3 linked regions of the Xenopus tropicalis genome follow. The protein of the gene in region 3 interacts with the protein of the main gene of each other region in a pairwise test. Links are inferred from orthologs where the notes say so. Each region holds a gene or a part of one and is shown on either strand. Other genes may lie near its edges.

What was found.
Region 1: the proteins of sh3gl3 (region 3) and atxn2 interact in binary tests that used the Homo sapiens proteins (3 or more experiments, as listed by UniProt). The link is inferred for Xenopus tropicalis from reciprocal best matches to the Homo sapiens genes SH3GL3 and ATXN2.
Region 2: the proteins of sh3gl3 (region 3) and rpl35a interact in a two-hybrid assay, tested with the Homo sapiens proteins (2 studies listed by BioGRID and IntAct). The link is inferred for Xenopus tropicalis from reciprocal best matches to the Homo sapiens genes SH3GL3 and RPL35A.

Annotation. Positions count from the first base shown.
Region 1 is NC_030677.2:163,139,806-163,146,536, reverse strand, and holds part of atxn2 (ataxin-2), read right to left. Parts: intron 5,546-6,731; coding exon 5,482-5,545; intron 4,311-5,481; coding exon 4,158-4,310; intron 3,465-4,157; coding exon 3,398-3,464; intron 1,787-3,397; coding exon 1,602-1,786; intron 698-1,601; coding exon 565-697; intron 1-564. UniProt on the Homo sapiens protein: Involved in EGFR trafficking, acting as negative regulator of endocytic EGFR internalization at the plasma membrane.
Region 2 is NC_030681.2:100,506,160-100,513,346, reverse strand, and holds rpl35a (60S ribosomal protein L35a), read right to left. Parts: upstream 4,663-7,187; 5' UTR 4,634-4,662; exon of another isoform or gene 4,145-4,633; intron 3,409-4,144; 5' UTR 3,377-3,408; coding exon 3,366-3,376; intron 2,620-3,365; coding exon 2,467-2,619; intron 1,577-2,466; coding exon 1,432-1,576; intron 871-1,431; coding exon 847-870; 3' UTR 808-846; downstream 1-807. Other genes in the region: iqcg (dynein regulatory complex protein 9), read left to right, coding at 6,385-6,498, 7,048-7,187.
Region 3 is NC_030679.2:105,641,503-105,648,233, forward strand, and holds part of sh3gl3 (endophilin-A3), read left to right. Parts: intron 1-1,285; coding exon 1,286-1,444; intron 1,445-3,527; coding exon 3,528-3,631; intron 3,632-5,028; coding exon 5,029-5,153; intron 5,154-6,295; coding exon 6,296-6,498; 3' UTR 6,499-6,731. UniProt on the Homo sapiens protein: Implicated in endocytosis. May recruit other proteins to membranes with high curvature.

The sequences.
Region 1 (6,731 bases), on a different chromosome or scaffold from region 3:
GCAGGTTACAGGAAGGACATCTCCCATAGACTCAATATTAAGCAAATAATAAATCAGTAGCTTGTACTTAATGGTAACTCGGCTGCATGAATCCATATTAGTGACAAAATAATCCTACTAGGTTTACTTCATGTTTAAAGGATTTTTAGCAGACTTAAGTTGTAGTGGTCAAAATCACTGAACAATCCCCCATCCAGAACACTCTAGGTCCCTAACATTCCAGACAACAGAGCCCATACCTACAGTTTGCTACTGGTGCAGTTGCATTCCAGTTACAATCCATTCCTTATTTTAAACCAAAAGGCAGTGCATTTTTTTTTTTAATCTTCAGGTTGGCTTGAACTCACTAATCTACCCAACAAAGAATAAATACTGGCATGCATTTAACACCATAGTTTTAGTAAATACTGCCTAACTCAAGTGTGTCCAACCTTCTTAAAATACTAACTGGGCCAAATAATTTTCAAGTTTGCTTCAAATTTCAACAATTGACAGATCAACAGAAAAAACACATTTTGCAATAAACAGTTTACAGCAGATTAGTTTGCATATTTGGGTACTTACCATACATGGTATGAGTTTGTTCAGGAGTGGCATACTGTGCAGCGGAGGAGGATACAAGGCCAGCCTGTGCATGAGATGGTGGTGCCATCATTCTTGTGTTCCCCTGTATCACAGGACTATATACATGTGGGTGCTGAAATACACAAAATAGTGGAAAGATATATTTTAAATAAATAAAATAAATTGGAAAAAAGAAACATTTTAAAATTATTTTTTTTAAAAGTTGCAAAAAAAAAGTAAAAGAAGTGACTGGGCCAATTTAATTTAGACCTGCAAAATTTAATAGGAGAGACTTAAAAAGAAAACATTTTGTGCTTTTCAAATGGCTGGGATTCCTAGTTCTTCTGACATTGGACAGATGCCGAATAACAAAGGCTATACAAAGAACTGCACATCATACCAATAATATAATGCAATGGAACATGGCAAGCCAGAGCGTCACTGCACAATGCAAGCTTCAGTGACCCCACCACACAATGTACCTGTTTAGGAGAGCCAGGTATGGCTGGTGCTCTAAGAAGGAACAGGTACACTGCAGTATGTGCAAAGTTATCCTTTTTCAAGCTGCGCAATGGATGAGTGGGTCTTGTAATGTGCAGCATTACGCAATATTATGTACATACATGCCAAGTTCTTGCATGCTTCACACTTGTGAGTGGAGTGTCACAGCTTGTTTACGCACACACACACAGGCAATGCCGTGTTCGTAATCGCTGCATGATGCATTTTAATTCATGAAATCATACACTAGCTTTCCACTAAAGGTGGTCCATTCTAAAACATAACCACATTATTACCACCATATCCGCAAAAACCTGAGAACTAAGAGCATTAATTAGTTAATTTGGTTAGTTGTAATGCGAAGACTCATGACAATACTCATGACTGTGATATCAGTGTGACCAATTTTGATAAAGAAACATGGATTAAAATAAAAACAAGGTATGTAATATTTTATATATAAAAATATATTCAAGTATACTGTAGTAACATTCAAAAGAAAAAAAAAAAAAAAAAGAAATAAAGCTGAAGGTTACCTGTGACTGATAGTGCTGTACATGCTGCATAAGTGGTTGATTAGGAAACTGTTGAGGGCTGTAAGCCACATACTGGGCAGAATAGGCAGGTGGGGTAGCAACTATTGGTGGTCCTGCTGCAGATACTGGATGCATCATTGTATTCTGGTGGTGCTGATCTTGCCGTTGCTGGGGCATATTGGGTACTAAACAAGAAAAATACTTTGATTAGCAACCTCGAATGCTGTGGTTCTCAACCTTCCTAATGCTGTGACCCTTTAATACAGTTCATCATGTTGTGGTGACCCCCAACCATAAAATTATTTCTAAACCCATCGAAAATATGTGTTTTCTGATGGTCTTAGGTGATCCCTGTGAAAGGGTTCTTCGACCCCCAAAGGGGTCCTGACCCACAGGTTGAGAACCACTGCTCTAATGTGTATTGATATACAGTGATCCCTCATTACACTACAGCCACACAGGTGGATCCGTATAGTCTTAATTAGCCTTTCCATGTTCCAGCACCCAAAGCCTCTTTGTCTGCCCGGGTGCAGGCATTCACAGTGGATTTTTGGAGTTGACACAATGGCTGAGTGCAGGGACAGGGAAAGGCTGTTTAGAGCATAGGGACTGACTCCTGCGGCTGCCCAACGTTTTCATTAAATATTATCAATCTACACTTAATATTCTGATGTGACACTAAAAAAATTTTCAGAGTGAAACACACTGAATTACCATAAGTATTCCTGGTAACATAACATGTATTCCTGGTAACATAACATGTATAATTTACATGCATGCAGGCCTAGTTTCACTGTAACATGTTGCTATCAGTTCTGCTGTGCTCAGCCATCTTTTATCTGTTCTTTTAACAAAACCCCACCCAATCTATTGCATTCAATGAAACTTTAGATAACACACAAAACACACTGTGGACAAAAAAATAAAGCTTTATGAAATTATGTAGACTGATTTTACTTTAACACATGGGACATAACTGTTCAGTTAGTTTGCATTTGAATCTGACCTGTGTGCTCACAAACTAACTGAACAGTTATGTCCCATGTGGCCCCCCTTTAAGTCACTGACTAAGAGGTTAGAGACCTGAAAGCAGGATGTTCCGGCTATTACATTAGACATCCACTCACTTCAGTCTTTATAAATTACATCTTTGAAATATTGGAAATATTTTTTTCATTTTGCAGTCTATCCATTTTAACCAGTTTAATTTTTACACTGAAGTGTTCCTTTAAACATGGACACTTATAAACACCACATGTTGCACAGCCTAACAATTATTTTCAGATGCATGCTTAATAGAAGCCATCTCTAGTATTAATCAGAACTGCAAAGCATCCATGACATATGAGCCTATTTTACAGGTGCCCAGTTTTTAATCAGTCAACTTTATTGTTAATAAAAGGCTCAGTCTTGAATTGTAAATGGTACTATGTGGAGCGGTTTCTAGTTGGGCAGTTCTGTACTTGTGGCAGCAAGAAGGAAACCGTAACGAGCAGACCCTAAATTGTGTTCATCCAAGCAGTGAACAGTGATGGGAATGTACTTACAAGAGCAGATTCTTTATATATGACAGTAAGCTCTTTAGTGTAATTAACTTTCATTAAATGGCTAAGAAGGCTGTTTCAAAAAAATGAGGGCAATACTTTGTTTACAAAACACGCATTGGAAGACATTTGCTTTCAATGTAGAAAAAAAAAAAAAAAACCTACTAGACATGTATACAATGCACACACATCTAAAATATTCTTCCCAAAAAATCATGCAGCATGCACGCAATTCAGATGTCACTGTCTCACCTTTACCTGCTCTGTAAGTCTTGGCCTGGTTCACTGGCATTGTAGTCATTGGAATGGAGTATAATGGCTGAAATAATAGATATATATATATATATATAATTACTAATTGGTCCTGCCAAAAGTTGTAGAAAAACATAAATCCAGCTTTAGTCATAGCCACTCTTACAAATGAGCTTACTATGACAGAACTCTTCATGCAGCCCTAAAAATAGGTAGTGACCCCAAGTGATGTTAGTAGCTGTAAATTTTGCTTCCCATTCGCCCATTCTGTGACAGCACTGACCTATGGTTTCTTGTGCAGGGTGGAACTTGATTAACCCAATAAAGCAGAAATCATACAGTATCTTTATGATGGAAAGCAAATGAAATAAACCCTTCTAAAAACAAATGGGGCAAGTGTATTGGTGTTCCCAGCTAGTTTCAAAGAGAGCCCACCCCTATTCATGTCATGTGACAAGTCATTAATATACTTGGCATCATTCCAGCAACTACACAACCATTCATAACCCTTAACTGCCAATCACAAATGCTGGGAATTGCAGTTCCTGGTTTCTAATTCCAACACTGTTGTTTTTCAATGTATGCTCATTTAAGAATAAACTATGGCTGGGTAACTGCTAACAATCAATTACTGCTTAGCAATTTACATCCTTGTCAGAATGAGTTCCCACTTTGTGTGTTCTACAAATGGGTGCAAAAGAAATGTCAATATTTATTTTTTGACATCCAAAATGACCAATTAGATCAGGTGAATGATTACCTGAACTCCAGGGCTCACAGGAACTGGATACATCATATTCGGTGCAAAACATACTGGCTGGGTATACACAGGCGTTGGCTGCTGATGTCCAACCACTGATGGACTTGGCTGAGTTTGGGGACGAGGTGAGGTTGGTGTTGTTGAAGGCTTGGGCTACAGCAAAACAAAAGATTTTACATGCACTCATTTTTCTGTGTAACTTATCTGCAATTACAATGGAAACATCTTAGGAAACATACCACAAAATTCATCTTATGTGTGGTTGCTACACGACCAGTATTTTACCAGCCTGGTCAGTAAAAATAATGCAATGGTTTACATTATATTAAATAAATGTAAAATATTTTGGTTTAGGTTGGGTGATCAGGGCCTAAGCCTTCTGTGCAAAACAAAGTGTTGGCTCTACTTCTCTCAGAAAAGTGGATCTGTTCTCTTCTACAGCTCAGTTTGACTATGCCAACAGACATAGCTTCGGCCTAAATGAACCTACATGGAGTCGAGATCGGCCCAAAAAACACGAAAGTAGGGATTTTGGGTCCAATCTCCACTGTGTATAGTTGCACTCAGTCCGAAGCCGTGTCGGTCAGTGAAGCTATCCAAAGCTGCGGAAGATAGCAGATGCACTTCACTCTCCAACAAAATTCATGCTGAGAGAAGCGAGCCAGTGCTCCGTGTGACCAGGGCCTTAGGCATACTGCTTATCAGCAAACAAAATAAGTGTGGCTAAACTGAATAACTGAAAGTGAATATGCCATTCACACCAGACTCAACCCTACCTGCTAGCCCCTCCTTACAAACACACCCCTGATCACTTTCCAGACAGTTAGCACTAGGACCATAAAGTAGGCAACAAGACCGCTAAATACCTAGCAACATTAAGGGTATGGTGTGTTGTAAGGGCTCTGGGCCTGGGAATCTTGCCTTCTTTGGTTCTCTATCAAGCGGTAGCTTGCTGGAAACTGAAGTAAGCTAAATAGCCAGGACCAATGAGGGAAAGGTGTCAGACCTCAGACCCTCTCCTATTTAGCAGCCAGAGACTGATTTGAATGAGAGACTGAAGCAACCCTATAAAGCTAATTAGTTCCAAGCTGAAAGGCTGCTGAACAAAAAGCTAAAAACTTTAAGCAAAAATTAAAATGCTACAATAAAAAAAACCAAAAAGGACCAGTTGCAAACACTACCCATAATCTTTTTTTTTTGGTCTGCTGTCACGGTGAGCCAAAGACTAAATTATCCTCAGCATTAAACAGGAACTTGGCAAACTTTACTTCGCGTATACTTTATGAATTCTACATTCCATATTGAAATTTAGAGAAATAATTACTTGAGCATATGATCTGGGATTGAACTCCTTCGCGTTTGGATTCAGAGTAGACTTTCTCACTTGCCTGTGAAGATAAAGTACCAGCAGTTAGTAAAATATAAGTACAGTACCAGCACAGGCTATTTACAAGGCAGTTTTCCCAGGCACTGTAAAAGTGAATTAATAAGGGACAGTAAGGATATGCATTTTCAGCATAAATACACATATCTACAGCTTATCTTATCTGCAATGTAAGGGCTCTGGCACACGGGGAGATTAGTCGCCCGCGACAAAATTCCCTGTTTGCGGGTGACTAATCTCCCCGAGTTGCCATCACCTGGCATCCCACCCGCGAAAATGTAAGTCGCCGGTGGGATGGCACACGCGGCATTGCGATTCCGGCAAATCGCCGAAAAAGCCTTGCGAGGCAACTTCGGCAATTTGCCGAAATCGCGCCGCTGCGTGTGCCATCCCACTTACATTTTTGCTGGTGGGATGGCAGGTGATGGCAACTCGGGGAGATTAGTCGCCCGCGAACAGGGAGTTTTGTCGCTGGCAACTAATCCCCCCGTGTGCCAGAGCCCTTACCTGTGCATTTTCTCCTTTTTTCCAGCTTGAATGGCTGCACCCCGGGGCTACACAGCAGGGTATTTATATAAACTATAGTAGCATTTCTGAGGCAAACATACCAGTTGTACCAGTGCAGAGCAATAGTACATTATATTTTAAATTACTTTAAAGCTCTTCAAAAAAATTTGTGTTACTGTTCCTTTAAGCTACCCACATTGCAATACTGTGATGTGGCCATTTGTCTAGAGACACACCACATAACACCGGAAATTAGCGATAACAAAAGTGCTCATCTTGCTCTGTTTGTGAGATTTCAGGCTGAGGGCCATATTAGTGCATTCCTCTGAAAGGCTAGCTATAATGAAAGAAGCATTCACTTTTTTAAAAAGTATCTGACGTACAGTAAAGCTCAATTTTACATCCCCTGGTTGTAAGTGTTCCTACATTTTACACCATTTTTAAAATATAGTGTACACACACACACATACTATAATATATATATATAACACACACACACACACACACACACACACACACACACACACACACACACACACATTACACAGCAAATAATTCCCTCTACCATTTAAACCTTTATTCTTGAACCAACAAATGTATTTAGTTGTAACATTGGAGTGTAGGCGCCATCTCAGCTTTCAGAAGGAGGCAGCGCTTTATAAAAGCAACTGTTGAGCCAGATT
Region 2 (7,187 bases), on a different chromosome or scaffold from region 3:
AAAAAAAATTTGGTCCCGGTGATTTTTCCCGCCATAGGGTACTGTATAAGTCGCTGTGACTAATCACGCGGTTTAGTGTCAGCGTGAGGTGGCCATACAGGGGCAGTTTTTAGCCGATTTGGCCCCTTCAAATAAAATCTGCAGCTTACCTGCCCATGTATGGAGCCCTTTGATGGACCTGCCTGACCAATAAGGGCTTAAAGGTTTAAAAATCAGGGCAAGGACAACATCGACTTGATGTCTCTTGATGCTCTCCCTGACGGCGTGTATCCCCAAGCATCTTGATCCAATTGTTTGGCCCTAAGGCCAAAGAATGGGATATGCCGATAATGCCCACAAACTCACTAATTAGGCAGATCTTTAGATGTATGGCCAGCTTTAGACTTGCAGATTTTACACAAATGAACATTTAAGTCCAAGTTGTTCAAAAGAACCACAGGAAGAAGGTAAGAGGGCAACATTTTACAGCAATTTTTGCATATTGGCACCCCTCTAATTTGTCTTTACTCATCCAAAAATCCAGAGCCTTGTTTTGCCATACATTTGTTGATATTATCTTTACCAATAAAGGAAAGGTGCGACAAACACAAAACCCCAACAAAAGGTTGCTTTTCCAGCAATATACAAGAGTTCTGCAATAACCCAAAATCAGAGTGTGTGCACATATGTTGGAGAAAAACCACAGCGGAATAGATAGGATCACATGGATAGGTAAGCACATTTCAGAATGCTTTTGCTTGCCTTGGGAGAGGGTGGGGGGTTTCCTCTGAGTGTTTAGAGAAGTCTCAAAAACAACACAAAAAATAGAAAAGATCTAGAATGTTTCTTTTTATTTTTTCTTAACATTTAGATCCTTGATGGGTAAAGCATCTGAAAAGAAAAAAGAGAGAGAGGTCAGAAACATTAATTGAAAAAGCACAGTAAATCTTAAGTCATTTTGCAATGTGCAAAAATAATCCCTCAACCCTAGGATTTTGTATACACAAAAGCGATTTAACATTTTACATGCCAGCAAAAGACTACAATACAGGCATAAAAGTACCATGGGGCCAGAGTTAGAGTTTACATTTCTTGGTCTTAGTTTGATCAATGTCTGAAAAAAAATGGCATGGCTAAATCAGAGACAGCAAACAAATGGCTTTAACACATATACAGTTATACAAGGAAAAAACTTTTTTTGCAACTTTGTGTCCCCTTAGGCATTAGTACAATGACACAAAGGACCCAGAATGGAAAAAAAAATTGTCCTCAGGTGGAAATGGTGGTGGGATGTCAACTCTCAAAACTTGGCTTTCAGTTATTGGGTTCTTCTTTTCAAACACAAGCTAAGTTTTGCACCAAGGGCCATGACAGCAGTGGTACCATATCTTTACATTATGTATTCATATACAGAGGTCTTTTCACTTTCCACCAACAGATGCAATCACTTACCACACGGATCCTGTGTCCAATGGCTTTAGCTGGGAGGTTAGAGCGGAACTTGGCACGGACCATGCCACTGTTTCCATGAGCTCGGGTCACCTTACCCCAGATCACACGAGTTCTGTTGGGCTTTCCACCAGGTGTCACTGTATTACTATAAAAAAAAAAAAAAAAGTTTGTAAACATTACATCTTGCAATTTTAAAACTCCAGCAGCAGTACATTTAACAGAAACAGGTTTGTCTCATTTTATTAAACATGCAAGTAGAAACATATTGCCACCCTCCAGTGATTGAACCTGTCCCACCCTTTAACTGCCTTTTTTAGTTGCCATTACCCAATGAGCTAAAATATTTTTGTACAGGTGCAAAAGTACACTATAAGAAACAAGCTTTCTATAAATTTTCAGTAAAAATCTCAGTTTAAGTTATCCTGCAAAAAGCAATACAAAGTATGAGAGGAATTTATACACTGCTTGCATGGCAAAATGTTACTCAAATATCCAAAGGAAAGTGAAATCTTTCGTCAAAATATATAATTCAACATGACAAAACTAATTTTGCTTTAAAAGTCTGACAGAAGGTCTACGTATAAATCAGCAAAGAACTATCATCCGTAACCTATACATGCATTAGGGTTTTTTCGTGTTTTTCTATTTTAGATTTCAGTCTTGAGGAAGAACAGTAAGCCAGTTCATAAAAATATCAGTCTACATATTCTTACATAAAAATATAAAAGTGAACTGAACTGGTAATCAAAATACTTCCATTCTTGGGAACCCATCCCCCACCACAAACACACACGGGCTGTTCAATTAGCTTTGCATTCTCTCACGTTTTTATGCATATTTCGGCTTTATGTGCCTGCACCTGAGCGTATTCCATTAATTCAGGTGCAGGCACATGTAGGAGCGCATGGCGCATATTTTCGGCAAGTGGTTTTCAGCTTGTCGAAAATATACACCATATGTATGGTGTGGCATTAACCTAACAGAAGAACAGTGCATATTCCAAGTGCTTGGTTCCCAAATGTAAAAGCGACTTACTTTTTTGCTTTGTACACATAGGCACATCTTTTTCCCAAGTAAAATTCTGTTTCATCTCGAGCATAGACTCCTTCAATTTTAAGAAGAGCTGTGTGCTCCCTCTGATTTCGAAGGCCTCGCTTGTAGCCAGCAAAAGTGGCTTTGCTCCACAATCTAAAATTAAATTTCAAAAATGTTATTAAACACATGGGAACTCTTCTATATCATCCCTCCCTTTTCAATAGGAAGAAATGCTTTTAAATACAATTTCTAAGTGGTCTTCTAAGCAATTTTATTTAAAAAAGGCACATTTAAATACACTCTGCAGAATACCAAGGTTTTAATTCTTACAGCGAAAGTTAAACAGGGTTAAAAAAATTAAATTGAAAACCTCAAAGAGTTTTGACTAATTTATAGTTCTAGGCGCTTTATTAACAGATATATACTGTAAGTGTAAATATATTTTCACTTCAAAATTAAATTGCAAGGGTTGTCAAAAGCGCACACTACAGTTTTACTTCATATCTCCTTTAAATCACAAATGGTATGAAAAAATATCAGTATCGAACTACAAACCAAATTTATGGCCCCCAGTCTGATCTGGGGCTCCAATATTTTTGTACGACATTTATATAAAATCTGGCAAACCCACATTGGTGCTCTACTTGGGTTATAAAACTAAACAGGTGAAATAACATAGGAATTTAGACATTATTAAACCTTATGCTGTGCCTAAGCAAGTGTCACATGCTGAAAGAATTTGAAGAAAATAAAAAGTAGAACCAAAAGGTAGGCTTGTCACTTTCATGTCACAATAACAACTAAGATTAGCTGAATCGCAGAAGTAAAGCAGCCTAAATAAGTGACATGTAAATAATTGCTTTACTACTATGATACAGAATTAGAAATATTGCTCATACCTTCCAGACATGTTGCTCTCCTAATGTCCAGATGCAGGCAGGACTGTAAAAAAAAAAAAAAAAAAAAAAAAAAAGACGTAGAAATATTTTTGTTAAACTGCAAGCTTTATGTGCTTTAATTATATTGCGTTTGATTTAATTACTTTCCCTGAGAAATGTCACAGGAAATAGATACAAACAGTGGCAAATGGAACCTCACAAATACCATAACACTATCTAAAAACATTTGGTGATGCATACACAGTTATGCATACACAGTTATGCAGACAGTTTCATTTGCAATCACATGTAACACTATGTCATTAAGAGTATTAATGATTCACTCCAAGTATTGGAGACCTTATTCTGGGTTAACATTTAAAGAGAAAGAGGTGGATCTTTTTCTCCAAGAGGCACGCCACAATCTTACCTGCATTTCCCAGGAGCCCTTATACCTATAGTCTTACCTGTGCACAATGCAGTAAAAAGTACCTATACTGTGCCTGTGCAAGGGATCCAGGTAAATACAGATAGATGGTGGTGTGACAGTTAGAAAGATGCCCACGGCCAACATATTGCTTCCCCTAGTAAATAAGACTACTTGTCCTTTTAAAGAAAATCTAGGACAAGATCAATATTATCTTTATGACACCTCTCTTAAATGAACAATAAAAACATCTTTCCAAATATGTCATATGAAACAAACATTTTCCCTTAACATGTGTGACTTTGCAATAGCAAAAAGCATGATCAGGAAGCACATCTCCAGCAGGCACACACCCGAGTGACCCCACAATTACCCGCTTACAAAGGCAGGACTTACGATCCTAAATTGGCTTTCCAGCAGCAGCTGACTTCTATAATAGAACTATACGAATAGGTGGCGGCAGAAAACCTATAGACAAGTACAAGCCAAGCTGCCCAGCACTTCAATTAGCCAAGCTTATTCCCCGTTTGTATTAAGGGACAACTACTACACAAAACTCGGCCTCTCAGCGAAGGGAAACTTCCTTAGGTGTCTGGCACAACTGTCGCCAAAAGAACAACTCGAAAACAAGTTTGCTGCAGTTGTACAGCTGCGAAAATAAGCCGGCAATGGGAAAATCCTATCAGCCTAGCTCCAATGCAATCCTCTCCGTATCCCAAACATCCCGTCTCCCACAGGCTCAAAGCCAGGCCCGGCAAATAACGCTCAAGTAGACGTCCCCGTTCATGTCGGTATTTCTCTCATACGACCCATTTAACTGTCCATTTTTCAGTATTAATATTTGACTATACACTAAGCTCACCCGCACTGGTAACCAAGATGGAGGAAAAGGAAGGGGGAGCGCTTTGCATGACGGGAAATTATGAACGTAGCATGCGTGAGGTGTCCATGTGACTGCCTAATGTAAAAGGGTAAAAAAAAAAAATAAATTAAACCCAATTTCAGGGCAATGAACTATGATCTCTAAGAGAATTGATTTTAAATCTAAAATCGTGAGATAAATGCAATAAATGTTAAAAATGATATATAACCGGCGGTACGAAGACGAATAGGACGCAAGGACTCTCGGGCAGGGTACGATCCCCATGGCAACTGTATGTAAACATTGGGTGTTCTGACGCACAGGTAACTTGCAAATCAGTTTTCGCAAAATCTGTATTGGCATTATATATTTTACATTGTACGTGAATGTGCATATAGCTACATAGTTGGGGTAAAAAGGGATGCAGTGTGTGTTTGGTAGACGTTACCATACCTGAGTAGTAGTAATACAGGGACTTAAGAAACATACACTGGCTAAGATACAGGCTCCCTGTTCTATAGTAAATGCTTTTTATTTGGCTGGATATAATACTTTAATGGATAAAACATAAAATTCTAATTGCATTATCCTTTAGTTGTATTACAAGAAAAGTAAGCAGTTTGTTATGTAGGGATGCCCCTCTTCCAATACTACCAGTGTCCACTCTCAGCTGCCCTTCCAATCCATACACCAACCCATTTGCATTCACATTTGGGCAAGAAAAAGTCACCCAGTTGTCCGTTATAAACACATTTGTGTCTTTGAAAACATCTGAATTGATCCATCTTATATACTTCCTTATGAAATTGCATTCAGTAGGATGGTGCAATGGAATGTTCTAGGTTTCCCTGGTCAGTTCTTAATCTGGAAATGCTATTGTTAGTACTGTGTTTGGAGTTTCCTTATTGGCTCAAAGGGGACCTGCCACCCAGACATAAAGTCAAAGTAATTTTTAAATTTAACATGAAACCCAAATTTTTTTAATGAAAACATCCATACCTGTTATAATGGTATTTCAAATCTTCAAATTTGTCTCTGTGCATATGAGTTGTTAGCAGTGGTTTGGGCAGCACACTAGTCATTAAATGCATAGTTTGCGAAGAACATAGACACACATATAATCAGGGCACATGCTCTTCGCGAACTATACTAATTGTATACATACAAGTGCACCCAGGTGTTAAACTATAGTGCGAGGTTAACTTTATCAATAGTCATTAAATGCAAGCATGAGCACCTAAAACAAATTTGGGCTCATGGAGACTTCTGGGAAATGTAGTATGGGCTCTGCACATACAGGTTGCTATGGCAACAGAGCGCTATTAAAGAGGAATTGCCTCTTTGTCAATCTCCTTTGTGCTTTTGCTGTTTACTATGCCCCATGGTTGATAATAGCATTATAATTTTTTTTACCTTAGCACATTCTAATTATTACAAGCTTTTTGGTGCCTTTTTGGGCTTATTAGGGTGGGGAAGGTAGATTTTCACTGTTTGTGTGTGGATACAGAAATCCTTAAGAAAGGTTACACTGTAGTGACCAAAACACTGAACTTTGCACATGATTTTGTAAATATATTTGATTTATTTGCTAAAGATCCATGCTTGCAGAACTTTTTGGGGCTTAGTGTTTGCTTATCTTGCATTGTTTGGTAGGCACCTTTTAAAAAGTGTTTTATCCAATTTGCAGCAAACTAAAGGCTTTGCATTCTGACACATTCATACCTTGCAGGTCAAGTAAAACTCCTTGAAAGATGACATTGTCTATGCTGGATGCACTTCGGGCGTGCACTGTACTGGAGGACAGCCTAGATCAACTCTCCGTTCTGGGAAACATCATGCCTGTATCTTACCATGGCCGCAGTGATGTTAGTGACCATAAACATTTGGCTGTGATTGGGTATTTTGTGGAATCTAACTTTTGATGTTGAATATCCTAAAAAGTCCTGCAAATGTAACCTGGTTATAAAGTTAGCATATATTATCTAGTGCAGGGATCCCCAACCAGTGGCTCGTAAGCCACATGTTTTTCACCAACCTGTTGGATGTTGCTCCCAGTGGCATCAAAGCAGGTGCTTATTTTTAAATTCTTGGCTTGGAGGAAAGTTTTGGAAGCATTGTAGGCTGCCAGACCACATAGGAGCTACCAGTAGCCAATGACAGCCCAAAATAGACACCCCCTGGACCTTTTTGCGTGCTTGTGTTGCTCTCCAACTTTTGATTTTTGCATGTGGCTCATGGGTGGAAAAAGGTTGGGGATCCCTGATCTAGTGCAATACAAGATGCTCTGGGAACAAATATTTTCTGAGCAAACATTTATATTAAAGCAGCGTCGTTCGGTCTGGAATATTTGTAGTGACTGTTTTTGCCTTTCTTTATAATTAGTCGGCTTTCTAATGTCTTGTGTGTAATTTTAGATAGTTGGAAATGAAATTGGAAAGATTCTAAAAACACAGAGGCAGCTGGAAGGAAAATTTGAAGACCTCATGGGGAAACGAGCAGAAGTTCGAACAACCTCTTTCCCTCTGTCCAGTAAGATGCTGGATCTGACAAAGCA
Region 3 (6,731 bases):
TCTATTGTTTATCCTATTAGAGAAGTCTCTACATAAATTATGATACCTGACAAAAACAGCTCTAAAGAAACCGATTTCTTTACCAGGGCACTTAACTTTTTGTTAAAAACCATTTTGTTTCTTTGCTGACATTTCAAAACTGCACAAGTTCCTTTCTTGGAACACAATTATACAAACAAAGTTGCACAATATAAAACCACCAACCTCCCTCCAAACAGTAAGGTCATTTAGACATTTAACCCTAATGTTTTCCAAACCTTTTCTCTAACAAGCCACATTACCTTTATGTAACATTCCATATTGAACACCATATTTGGAACTAATATATTAAGATAAGAAATTATGGTGTTCCATAAAGATGCCAGCTCTGAAGAGAATATGTTGTTCTCTTCCATATAACCAATCACAAGGTTGGTATTTATTGGTGCAACAGGGCTCTCCATTCCGTTCTGTCTTTCAAAGCTAAAAAAGACAGCTTTTATGCCCAGTTCCCAAGGAATAACAAATAATGAGCCAATATGGATTGTAACCTACCACATCTCAGCATCTGAGACTGATATATTATCAGTGCTGAATTTACGCCCGGTGCCACCCTAGGCACCAGACCTAACTGTGCCCCTAGATTGTGGAAGATCACTTCCCAAATTTCCTTGGGAATATTGTGTGTCTTGTATATAGCTTGGTAAATTATAAACCAAGTCTTTAAGCTGAATATCTATAAACTGAGACAGCGGATAAGTAGCAAAATTAATGGCAGATACAGTGGATTTACCACACTTTTATGGATCTTTGGCAACCCATAAGGAACAGCTTCTTGTGGGTTCTCAACTAGTCCAACTGTAATATCAATTCGTTGGACAAGAATGCAGGTATTTACCAAAAAGCTAAAAAGAACGGCTCTTCGATATGAAAATAATATTTTTTAATATTGTGTCCTGGGGTAGGTGCCAGTGAGATGTATGAACTACAGTGTTACAATTTCAAGAAGTGTTGTGGGTAAAGATGGCTTAGAGACATTATGCTTTTAGTTCTTAATCCACTCTACCTCCAACCTGTTCATGTTCTTGTAAATGTATTATAGATGTGCCGACTCTGCCCAAGAGGTAAGTGGAGTAGCAACTGTATTAGCCAAGGGGATTAAGTGAATGGACTGTATAATAGCAGGTTCCTGTTTCTCTGTGAATTCCCCAGTGTGCCTGTAGTCCAACCTACTTTCTGGATCAAATCTGTATTTAACACAAGTGACGATTGCTCTCAGCCATTCTCGATATTTTCTGCTTTACAGTACCATTTAAAAAGGCTGGAAGGGCGTCGTTTAGATTATGACTATAAAAAGAGGCGCCAGGGGAAGATCCCGGATGAGGAAATCAGACAAGCAGTGGAGAAATTTGAAGAGTCCAAGGAACTAGCAGAAAGGAGCATGTTTAACTTCTTGGAAAATGATGTAAGTCTACTGTAGAGATTCTGCTAGCAAACAAATAATAGTGTAGGCGACACACTTTCACACAGTGTTATGTTCTATATGACATAAAAACACAATTGATATATATTTTATGATGATTATAACCTTGTCAGCTACAAGCACATTTTCCCAGTAATATGGAGTTGGTAAGTGTTGCATCTATGATAGGCTTTTATTCTTTTCCGTAAATCATTTCTCTCAAGTAATTATGGTGCCAGTGTATTATTCTCCCAGCACATAAATAACAGTGACACAACCTCAGGGGAGGTAGCAGATCTTATAGAGACAGCAGACCCAGTGGCCGCGAGCAGAGGGAGGGTACAGTAAGGGTTGTTGGCAGATCTACTATTTCAGTAGCTGCTTTAAAAATATTTTGGGGGGGATACAGGGGGTATTAAAATATTTTAGGAGTAGTATATTACATATTTATAAACAACAGCAATAAGGCTGGTGCCACATTGGTCTGTTACTCAGCCTGCATATAAGCACTGACGAGAAACAGCCCTTCCGTTTGCATCCGCTCTCTCCTGTGTCTACACTCAGAGGCAATGTTTCAGCCTGGCTGCAGGCACACAGAGCGTATTTCAGCATAAAAATGCATACTCACATGGTTCAGCACCTAAAAAAAAGGAGAGAATGCCAGGGGGCCATCTGAAAAGCAGACCAAGAATTAGCCTTGTGTGGCATTAGCCTAAAAGTATACAGAGTAATCCAGCTGTCTTCTAAGGACTGACTATTAAATACAGATAATTAAGTCAGAAAGAGATATTTACTGATCCCAGTTCATTGAATTATTATATGTTATTTGAGATCACACCCATCCAACCTGGGATTAAATCTCTGCATTTCAATAAATTACTTATCTTTCTAAAATACAGCGGTGCCCAAGCAGCTGCATCTTATTAAAGCTTTATTTGTACTGTGTAGCAGCAGTATAAGACTTGGTCATGTATCTTGCAGGGTCATCACTTCATTTTCCTTATTCTCCTATTTCCCAATTCAAATTCTTCTTTCAATTCCACTTGCATTATGAAATCACAAATAATGTAATGTATGAGCTGATTATGCCTTTCTGAGGGACAGGCTGATATAAAAAGCTGTGTATTGCAGATGATGCAAGAAAATTAATGGTGTTTATCAGGATGTTCCAGGAATATTTTGTGACATTTTACGCCATCTGGTGGGAATATGTAGAACTGCAGCTTAGATTCTCAATTACAGTGTTGTTTCATAAATGTATGAGGTATATGTATATCTCTTTATTTATATAACGTTACTGGTATATGCAGTGCTTAACCCACACATTAACTATAGTCATTTAGTTATAAAATTTCATCTTTTCAACAGGTCTGAACAGGAGAAAAAAGCTCAACAATAGTGTGATAAATAGGGACTGAAAAAAACTGACTATTATGATTATGTTATTGCCCAGTTTTGTGTGCTTAATTAATGCTATCTTGGTGACATTTGCAACCACTGTTCTTAAGTAAAAAGATTGATTTGCACTTACTATACTGCCATGTGGTACTTTCTTCAACTGATGAGAATGGAAGAATTAGTAAACCTTGATGCAAAGGAAATAAAGCCACATGAATAATAATAATGAGAAGCCCACCAGCATACTCTGGCCTCTCCAGTTTAACTGCTTTAGGGCTCAGTGTGGTACAGATCAGCACCCTGCTCGTTGTAACTAAATGAAAGGAAAAACCCAGCACAGCGAAGCAAGTGCAGTTGGGGAACACCTTTGTGAAAAAGCTGCCCCTATATTAGTCCTGACTGTGTAGGCAGCTTATGTGCCCATGTATAAGGACAAAACAAGATATATATATGATCAGGAGGAAAATGGTTGCTTTCCTCTCCCGACAGGTCTGCATGGAGCCCCTATTCCATCTGATTTACTGATTCATTGCTATGGGTTATTGCCCATGTGCCAATTTGCCCAATGTTTATAGATTAGCCCCAGTATGTCATGTATGGGATATATAACCTACCCCAAAATATCACAAATGCATCTTAGAGTGGCTTGTTTGAGGTTCATCTAATAACTGCTGTCTTCTTATTACAGATAGAACAAGTAAGCCAACTGTCTGTATTTGTAGAAGCTGCCTTAGACTATCACAGACAGTCTGCTCAGATTCTTGAGGACCTACACAACAGGTTACACAATAGGTGAGCCACTGGCAGGTAATGGTTTTAAGCAATGGTGGCGCCATCGAATATTGTGCACACTGAAAGAGAGGATTTAACCATATCAGATATTTTGTTACGAATTTACACTAAAATCCTTACTGGTTGCTGCGAGTCTCCCATTTTTAAATAGCCCAGAAAAGCTGGGCCAAGGTGCCTGAAAATGCCCTCCACTGACTTGCAGAGGCAATACTGGAAATGCACCCTACACTGTTCCAGATATCTGACAAGCACTGGCACACAACTGACACAATTTGGAGTAGGAATTTGCATTAGCTTCCAAGGCTACAGACCCTTCTCTATATAGGATTTGTCAGTTTCTATCAAAGAAATAATCATTTGATCCATATTTTATAGTATTTAAATGGGCAGTTCACTTTTGAGTTAACTTTTAGTATGTAATAAAATGGCCAGTTCTTAGCAATTTTTCTGTTGGTCTTTATTGTTTTTTAAATGTATTTCCTGATCTGTCTCTTTTCATCTTTGAAAAGGGTGTCACTGACCATGGCAGCAAAAAATATTGCTCTTTCAGGCTACTGTTTCATTATTATTGTTACTTTTTATTACTTATCTTTTTCTAGTCAGACCCACCCCTATTCATATTCCAGATTCTCAATCAAAAGCTGGTTGCTAGGGTAATTTGGACGATTGCAACCATATAGCTGCTGATTAAAAAGCTGAATAATTAAAAAAACACACTAATAAAACAAATAATACCAATTGCAAATTGTTTCACAATAGCACTCTCTAAATATACTGAAAGGTATTTTAAGGTAAACAGCCCCTTTAATCATAAACAAATAATGACAAATGAAAACTTTAACTCTTATTTCTCATTAGCTCATCTTAGCCTCATTAGCTCCTAACTGGGTCCTACATGAGCAGGCAATTGGGCAAGATTTGTGTTATCAGCATGGTGCCAAGGTGCATATGGGAAGCACGCTTCCCGTACAACCTCTTACTCTACCCAATCACCGAAATTTGCCACCTAGTGCACCTTAAGTAATGGCCATACTCTTAGGCTGATGTCACACCAGGCGTAGGGCTGATTTTTTCGGCAAGCGGATAAACGCTTGCCGAAAATTCAGCCCTACGCCTGCTACTTGTGCCTGCACCCGAATGAATGAGATACGCTCGGGTGCAGGCACATGTAGCTGATATACGCATTAAAACGCGAGACTTTGCATTCTCTCGCCCTTTTTTCGGCAAGCGGAAAAACGCTTGCCGAAAAAATCAGCCCTACGCCTGGTGTGGCATCAGCCTAATATTGTTACTACAAGCTCAGCCAGCACTGAATCAGGGGGAGAATGTGCTCCTTTGAGATGAAATCCTGTTGTTTGCATTCAGCTGCTGACAGCAGTGTTTTGTTCTGTTCCCAGAATGAATACAGCCTCCAGCCGACCAAAGAGGGAATTACAACATAAATCAATAATTGCAACCCTGGAGTCAAATGAAAAGCTACATCACAATGGGATTCCCAGCAACTCATCAATCAAGCCATCAGGTAAAGGTGTAACCAGCTTGCAACTATTTACCAATAATTTAGAGCAATGTCGTTTTTGGAATGAGTGGGAAAAAAAAACTTTTTTGGGACACCCAGCTTTATAGGCAGTGGAAGAAATTGCGTTTAGCTAGGCTAGTTCCTCGGGTTCTTCAGGGTCTTGGCTTCTCCAACAGAAAACAAAGTGCAGTTTCCCTCGATCCATATTGTTTACCCACTGCAATGTTTTGAAAAATTTATCTATAAACCAGGTTGGAAATCACGAGCGATGCAACTGAACCGAGTAGAATCAGAAGACACTTCTGGCATATGTAATTTAAGCTTTTGCCATTTTGTACTTGCAAAACAGCAGGGGGCCTTGTAATACATATTTATGATATTAGCATTGTCAAATGCGCTGATATCATGAATACAAAAAGAAACAAATTAATAATGTAGAAGTGCTCAGAAGAGCACTTTGAGCAATTTTACAGGGGACATGATTACTCTGTACAAGTACATTAGAGGGGATTATAGGCAGATGGGGGATGTTCTTTTTTCCAGTAAAAATGATCAACGCACCAGAGGTCACCCCTTTAGATTAGAAGCAGCGTAGGGGGTTTTTCACGGTTAGGGCAGTGAGGTTGGGGAATGCCCTTCCTAGTGATGTGGTAATGGCAGATTCTGTTAATGCCTTTAAGAGGGGCCTGCCTTGAAGAAGCAGAATATCCAAGGCTACAGTGATACTAATATCTACAGTTAGTATTAGTGGTTGTATATATAGTTTATGTATGTGAGTGTATAGATTGGTAAGTATAGGCTGTGTGTGCTGGGTTTACTTGGATGGGTTGAACTTGATGGACTCTTTTTTCAACCCTATGTAACTAACTATACATGTTGTAGGGAGCTTATGTCCTCTTTAAATGGTGAATGGACAGCTTGCTATTCACTTGTATGGGAGTTTCACATTTTTTCTCTGGCAACCAGTGGCAAATTGAAATTTCAGAATATAACTATACACCTTAGTGTTATTTGATAAAAAAATAAATAAAAGAGCCAATTTTTTGGTTTGGTCTACATATACACTTCCTGTAGCGCCTTCACTGCTGCCGAAAGTAATAGGCTTCAGCTAATCGATGCCTGTTTGCTTCCTGTACATTTTATAGGTTCCTCTGGAAACTTGGACCAGCCTTGCTGCAGAGCACTGTATGACTTTGAGCCAGAAAATGAAGGAGAACTTGGATTTAAGGAAGGAGACATCATTACTTTAACCAATCAAATTGATGAGAACTGGTTTGAAGGTATGGTCAACGGTGAATCAGGATTTTTCCCTATTAACTACGTTGAAGTGGTGGTTCCGCTTCCATAGTGAACCATGGACTGAGAGACAATTTCATCCTGTAAAAAACGAAACAAAAGGACTTGCAAACATTTTGAATGTGGCATTCTGTGAACGCCTTGCTACTGGAGTGACTTCAGATCTTTAGTATGTGTCATCTCTTTTATATGTATTTATTTTGTATTAATTTTATTTTTATGAATACATTGACATCAAAATACAAATCTATTTTTGTTCGTACTGTTCTATGGAGACCTCCTGCT